2 linked regions of the Macaca fascicularis genome follow. The protein of the gene in region 1 interacts with the protein of each later gene in a pairwise test. Links are inferred from orthologs where the notes say so. Each region holds a gene or a part of one and is shown on either strand. Other genes may lie near its edges.

Evidence for each region. The genes of interacting proteins can lie anywhere in the genome.
Region 2: the proteins of ESRRG (region 1) and NR0B1 interact in binary tests that used the Homo sapiens proteins (3 or more experiments, as listed by UniProt). The link is inferred for Macaca fascicularis from reciprocal best matches to the Homo sapiens genes ESRRG and NR0B1.

The regions. Positions count from the first base shown.
Region 1 is NC_088375.1:74,372,874-74,376,373, forward strand, and holds part of ESRRG (estrogen-related receptor gamma), read right to left. Parts: intron 903-3,500; coding exon 792-902; intron 1-791. UniProt on the Homo sapiens protein: Orphan receptor that acts as a transcription activator in the absence of bound ligand. Binds specifically to an estrogen response element and activates reporter genes controlled by estrogen response elements.
Region 2 is NC_088395.1:30,316,413-30,320,376, forward strand, and holds the start of NR0B1 (nuclear receptor subfamily 0 group B member 1), read right to left. Parts: upstream 2,801-3,964; 5' UTR 2,774-2,800; coding exon 1,606-2,773; intron 1-1,605. UniProt on the Homo sapiens protein: Nuclear receptor that lacks a DNA-binding domain and acts as a corepressor that inhibits the transcriptional activity of other nuclear receptors through heterodimeric interactions.

The sequences.
Region 1 (3,500 bases):
CTATTCATAAACATCTGAAAACGCTAGTTCTGTTGCACTACAACTACTAACTGATTTTCAGAAAATGGGATACAGTGATTGCCTCAATCTATATTCCAACTCTTTTTAGTTAATGGCAAAAAGCAGGGGGCTTGCATTTCAGCAATGTACCAGTCATCCTTTCAAATTGCAGCTTGGCTCCATAAAACCATGAGCTCTTTAAAAACAATGCATACCGTACATAAGGGCACCTCAGATGGAACCAGCAACCTATGCTTGTTATTAGCAGTGCCCATTCTTGTTTTAATCTATTGCTAGCTAGTGTGTTAACCTTCTATAGCTCCAAATTAATGAGGCCCCTAATGTATTTTCATTGGGAGGTTGAGCAGTCAAACTCATTTAGTTAGTGAAAACTACAAAAATCACTTTCTTGTGAAATCTGAATCTAACAGCTCCAATGAACTAATGATCACAGTATGATCCATTTTATGTACCTCTGCAAATAAAGATAACCAGTAAATGTAAAATTCACACTATATAAGCTATGCATTAATATGCTTATGCTTCCACAAAATGACTAGGTAAAAAAAGGCTGGAGAGAGAAAACCACAGATATCTCTAAAAGAAAAAACAAGATAATAAGTGAGTTCCTGTCGCTCCTCACAGACAATCCTTGGGAATAGAGCCACCGTTCTCCAACAAAGAGAAGTCTCCTTGGAGTCAGTAGGGATGGGCATGCCAAAGTTGATGTACATAGAGCCAACTGGGAGGATTTCATGTTCTGGGAAGCCAGACACATCTGCTGTACTTACATGGCTTTTTGGCTGGCTGAACCAGCTGAGGGTTCAGGTATGGGCTGTTCTCCGCATCTATTCTGCGCTTGTACTTCTGCCGACCTCCACGTACTCTGTCAAGACGCACCCCTGTGAGCAAAGACAGGCAGCAGCTTACTATTAAGGTAGCTATGTTTGAGACCAATCAAATACATAGACAGTATCCCCCAAGGGCACATAGTTGACAAACAGTAGAATGCTGAATGAACCAGGAGTACTCAAATAATGTAAATAAGTGGTGGCTAAATCAAAATTGCCAGAGGTTGAAAACCAAATCTACAAGTAGATGACAGATCCAAAAGACATTTATGCAAAGCCACCAAGGTCACTATTTGCACATCAAAGAAAAGGCAGATTTCCATGTAGATTAATACAAAGAAGCCGCTATTTGGTGCTAGTACAGTTTCTTATATTAAAGACACTGGCATTTAGTATCCTCTTCATCAGTCAGCCCTGAAAGCTCAATGTGTAGCAACGAGTAGACCAAGAGCTATCCAACTTTCCTCCAGTCTGCCAGAGGCCTCAGTGTGGACATGTGGAACTGAGCTGAATAAAGAGCACCTATGTGCTGGGGAGGAGGGAGGCTGGAATTACACTACACAAGATTCAGTCCTGAGAGACACAAAAATTGTTCCATATCAAAATGTCAATATGTCGCTGAAGGGGAGTGTTATTTACATTTTGGCACAAATTTGTATTTCCTCTCATATGTGAGAAAACTGAGAGCAGGTTTGGGCTGAACACAGGATAGAAAGAGGAGCTTCCCGGCCAGGTGCGGTGGCTCATGCCTGTAATACCAGCACTTTGGGAGGCTGAGGCGGGTGGATTACCTGAGGTCGGGAGTTCAAGACCAGCCTGACCAACATGGAGAAACCCCATCTGAACTAAAAATACAAAATTAGCTGAGTGTGGTGGTGCATGCCTGTAATCTCAGCTACTCAGGAGTCTGAGGCAGGATAGTTGCTTGAACCTGGGAGGCGGAGGTTGCAGTGAGCTGAGATTGCGCCACTGCACTCCAGCCTGGGTGACAGAGTGAAACTCTGTGAAAGTAAGAAAGGAAGAAAGGAAGAAAGAGAAGGGAAGGGAAGGGAAGGGAAGGGAAAGGAAGGGAAGGGAAGGGAAGGGAAGGGAAGGGAAGGGAAGGGAAGGGAAGGGAAGGGAAGGGAAGGGAAGGGAAGGGAAGGAGAGGGAAGGAGAGGAGAGGAAGAGGGAGGGAGGGAGAAAGGGAGGGAGGAAGGGAGGAAAGGAGGGAGGGAGGGAGGAAGGAAGGGAGAGAGGAAGGGAGGGAGGGAGGGAGGGAGGAAGGAAGGAAGGAAGGAAGGAAGGAAGGAAGGAAGGAAGGAAGGAAGGAAGGAAGGAAGGAAGGAAGGAAGGAAAAGAAGAGCTTCCCAAAGAATTTGGAATGCTTGGATGTCAAAGGAAGGGTATGTTAATAGGAGAGAGCTAAAGGGTGAAGTTGGAAAGTGGGCAAAAGTAAACTGGGAGGAATAGAACTTTTTCCAAATAGTGATTGGTTGGGTCAAGATTCAAAGGGGATTTTCTGGCAGTGGATTTAAAAGATTAAGGAAAAAGCCAAGGGAATGAATGGGATTGCAAATATAGGAAAACTTCAATAATATCAGGAAGTGATAGGGAAGAGCTTGTTAATCCAGGTTCCAGCCTGTAATTGTAAAGTTTAGCACAGGACCATATAAATCCCTACCAAATATAGGGATGATTACTTGGGAGCAGAATTGAGGAGACACTCTTTTGCAGTATTACGTTGTACCTTAATTGATGTAACAATGTAAAATTATCTATTAAGAAGTTCAATCATGTAATTAATAGTACATATTTTGACATTTCTCAAACTGTTTAGGAAATAGATCTGGTTTAACAGCATCATCAGTATTACTATTTTATTTAAGCCCTCTCAGAGCCATTAGTAGGCGATGGGGTCTGTAAAACTCTAAGAGGAAGCTACATAGCACATGCAATGTTTTGCAAACCAATTGAACCAGAGCTCCCACTTTTTTGGAATACTGATTAATGTCATGCAGAATACGCGAGCTGTGGGTTATCTGAGTTACATGAAACTATTTGGGAAAAGCAGATCTATTTCTATGTGAATATTTACGGTGAATATATTACTCAAATATTAAAGATTATTAGGAAAACAATTTTTAATATTATCTTAATAATACTACTTTAAGAATTGGTTATCTTTTAGCAGAACACACAAATAGTTGGTTATAGATAAAGCCTGAATTGTCATATTGAAACCTCAGAATATAGTATAAATAAAATCAGGAGACAACTTTGAGAAAAGTTAAATAGGTTAAACAAACAAATATCAAAAACCAAAGAAGTTAGGTAAGGTTATTAAGCGTTCACTGAAAATTGCCATGCATGTTGGTCACAAAGAAGTTATATTTCTTTATTGCCGCTTTTAAAGCACTTCATGCCTACAGCATATATGTTCCTTTGTTCATCTAATTCCTAATATTCTATTTTTATTGCATCTATATTTAATAAAGTTTAATGCCTTCTACTTCTCTCCACTTTCATCATGATTTATTTTTTTTTTTTATCTCTTTCTCTTCAAACTTTTCTTCAGAATATTTTCCCAGTTGAAGGTGACCACATTTTATCTGGTCATCGAAGATACATTCAAACCTGTTTCATTACAAGAATTTTGAAAATTCAAAA
Region 2 (3,964 bases), on another chromosome or scaffold:
GTCACAGATGATTCTCAAGATAATTTGGAAAACAGTCTTCTTATTCCTTCAGCTAGTATTATTAATCATCCACTACGTTCCTTGTCCTGTTGGGATATAAAGGTGAAAGGGGCTCACCTTCCAGAAATTTACATTCCATTAGTTTCAGTATCAATAGTTTCCCTCTTTCCCTTGACCCTGTTTTATATACTTTTAACACACACACACACACACAGACACACACACGCACACTTCTTCCTTGTTCTTGATTGACTTTTCCTAATCCTTTCTCAGTATGAGTTTAACCAGCTAAGCTGAGTGTGTTTGAAACTCAAATGTACCTATATTGGGGAGAAAGGTAACGCCTATTGAGACTGTGGCCTCTCTTTGCTGTTTGTCTTTTGTATATCCCATATAATAAATTTAAATATATTAAATATATATATTAAATATATTTATATATATTATGCACTCTCAAAAATGCTAGGCAGGGGGCCAGGACATAATCAGAGATTCCAGCACCAGGGAAAAGATACAAAAGGAGCATTATGGAAACTATCCCAACTCAAGTTGCCTGGAAAATTTTTTTCCACTTCAATCATTTCAAAAGGACGCTGGTTGAAGATGATTCTAGTAGAGAGAAACACCCAAGACAAGGTGCCTGGCTGTCCAGGGAGATGTTCCCCCAGTGATTTGGTTGCACCCTGTGGGACAGTGTGTCCTGCACCCAACAGACAACCTGAAAGTTTGGTGCAGCCGACATCCCACAGGGCCCAGAAGATAGGACCCTCAGGTGCCACAACACACCAGCCATTTACTTTGGAGTAAGGTCACTTGGGACCTTGGGACACATCCACCTACACAGTAAAATGCGGTGGGGGAAGGTTACAGAGCAAAGGGGGTTGATTAGGAGGTCTCTAAAGTCTCTTTGAATTCTAAAATACAGTGTTCCTGCTCTCAGTCCCTAAAGTGACTTTTTTTTTTTTTTTTTTCTTATCCCTTTGCCAACCTGATATTCTTCACAGAGATTTGGAGGAAGGGATAGTCCAGATGCTTAGGACCATACAAATAACCATTCAGAGGCAGGCCTATGAAACACTACATCCAGTGTACTGTCTGACAGTGTCCCTAGGGAATAGTCTCTCTATGGGACCCTTTAACAAATGTTTCCTTTTTTGCTAGCCCTAATAGATCTCCTCCCCCCAAAAAAAGGTTCTAGTAAATTTCAGAATGGAGTTTCAGAAATCGATGTCGCAGAATCTTCAGTGAGCAAAAACTTTTTTTAGAAAAAGATATGCTCTGGACTTCAAAGAAAGCTAAAGAAAGAATAACCATTTCCCATGAAGGCACAAACTTTTCTGTAGTAAGAAACGTGTAAAGAGCTAAGTACAAACCTAAACAAACAACTCCCCTCCTCTTGGCTGAGTTTCTGACAGCAGCCCACTCAGGAGAAGTGGTTCCTGGAGCCCCCCACCCCAACTCTGCTGAGTTAGTCATGATTTCTTCACCTTTGTCCCGACACTCTCCTGATCACTGAAAACTCCTTACTGCCCGCGCCCCTAGATAGGCACTGCCTGATGCTTTTGTGAGCTGGGAAAAGCCGGCGCCCAAGGCCAGTACCCTTACCCGGGTTAAAGAGCACGGTCCCCTTGAGGTAGGCGTACTCCTTGGTACTGATGTTCAGACTCCAGCACTTGGAAAGAAAGCACTTGATGGCTTGGACCTGGGAGGCGGAGGGCACCTTCCTGGCCTCCGCCGGCGGTGCCAAATGGGGCTGCAGCGTGGACACGGGCAGTGGCTCGTCGCCCCCGGTCTCCCGCCGCCTGGTGGTGAGGATCTTCTGCAGCATGCTGGGCTCCGAGACTTCTACAGTCTCGAACTGCAAGTGGTCCTGGGCCAGCTCAAGCATGAGCAGGGACGCCCAGCAGTTGCGCACCAGCACCAGCTGCTGGTCCAGGGGCAGCACCTGGAAGCAGGGCAAGTACTTGACAAAGCGCAGCGTCTTCAACAGGCCAGCTGAGGCTGCCTCGCAGACCACCTGTGGACTCTTGAGCGCCACTGGCCGCAGCGCACCAGAGGAGGTGTCCCACCAGGGGGCCCTCGGCCGCTCCTCCGGAGCCGCCTGCACTTGATTTGTGCTCGTGGGCATGCAGTAGAGGGTGCTGCCCTGCTGCGGGTGGTCTTCACCGCAAAAGCAGCAGCGGTACAGAAGCCCCATGACCCGCCCGCCTGGTAGCGCCTCTCTACCCCCTGGCCTCTGCGCGAAGTAGGAGCGGTCCCACCACGCGCCCACTGGCCGTGCCTCGGGCGCTGCCGGAGCCACGTGCGTTTGCTTTGCGCTAGTGAGCAAGCTGTAGAGGATGCTGCCCTGCCGCGGGTGGTCTTCACCACAAAAGCAGCAGCGGTACAGGAGTGCCACGGGCCGCCCACCCGGAAGCCCCGCTCTGCCCACCCCGGGATCAGAGCCGCACGAACAGCCCCAGCACGGACCCAGCGTCGCCTCGGGCGCCTTCGGTGCCGCGTACGTTTGCTTTGCGCTCGTGAGCATGCTGTAGAGGATGCTGCCCTGCCGTGGGTGGTCTTTACCGCAAAAGCAGCAGCGGTACAGGAGCGACACGTTCCGCCCGCCCAGCAGCCCCTCTCTGCCCACCCCGGGCTCATCGCCGCACGAACAGCCCCAGCACTGATCCACCAGCCGCGTCTCTGGAGCCTCAGGAGCCGCGCGCGTTTGCTTCGCGCTCATAAGCATGTTGTAGAGGATGCTGCCCTGCCACTGGTGGTTCTCGCCCGCCATGGCCCGCGGCTCCTGCAGCCCGGTTCTGCCCAGTGGCTGCCTCCTGGGACCTATTTATACCTAGCGCGCACGCAGGCGCGTCGGCCGCCTCGGTCTGGGCAAGGGCGCGGAGGCGGGCAGGGGGGGCGCGGTGCTGCGCTCCGGTGTATTCGCCCATGACCTCGGTGGTTCGAAGGGGCGGGTGTTCTTTAAAAGCTGAAAATGGAAGAGGAACAGCAGCGTGGGAGCTCCTGGACACTTCCCTCCTTCCTCTCATTACCCCTTTCCCTGTCTCTCAGGAAGACCGGAGGAGAGCGAGCGCCTGGATGCTGTTGCAACTCTTTCCATTGAACCTCGCATCTAATTTGTTCCCTTTATTGGGAGGGTAGGGGAAAAGAGGAAACATCTACTTCTATGCTCTTTGTAAACTTTCATTAAATTTTCACAGTTTGTGAGACTCATATTTGTATATGGATAGGGAGGTCTCATTTTCTGAGACCTTGAAAAATACAGAACATAGACAAACATCATATGGGAACTCGGTGGAAATGCCCAATGTCAGGCTCCAACCAGACTTTCTAACTCTGAATCTGCATTTTAACGGTGTCCCCAGGGATTCACATGCACCTTGACGTTTGAAAAGCACTGGTCTAAATATGCTAGCATAAGCGCTCAGTTTAATTCCATCAGTATTTATAAGCGCCCACTATGTCCTGGATGCTGTGTTAAGAGAGCTGGGGGCAGCGAGCAGGTTGTAAAAGTGCCTAAAACTTAGGAATATAATAATCACGAGGGGATAATATTGTTACAGTGAGAATCGTTTTCATTTTAGTATATGGTTTTTTTTTTTTTTTCTTTTAACTTTTAGGTTCAGGAGTATATGTCAGGGTTGTTATATAAGTCAATTGCTTGTCGCGGGGGTTTGGTGTACAGATTATTTCGTCACCCAGGTAATATAGTATCCAATAGGTATTTTTTCTCATTCTCTCCCTCTTCCCACCCTCCACCTTCAAGTAGGTTCCAGTGTCTGTTGTTCCCCTCCTAGTGTCCATGTGATCTCTTTATTTAGCTCCCACTTACAAGTGAGAACATGTGATAATTTGGTTTTCTGTTTCCGCGTTATTTCGCTAAGGATAATGGCCGCCAGCTCTCATTCTTTTTCATGGCTGCAGCGAGAAATTTTGATCCTTGTAAAAGTATTCCATTGGTAAG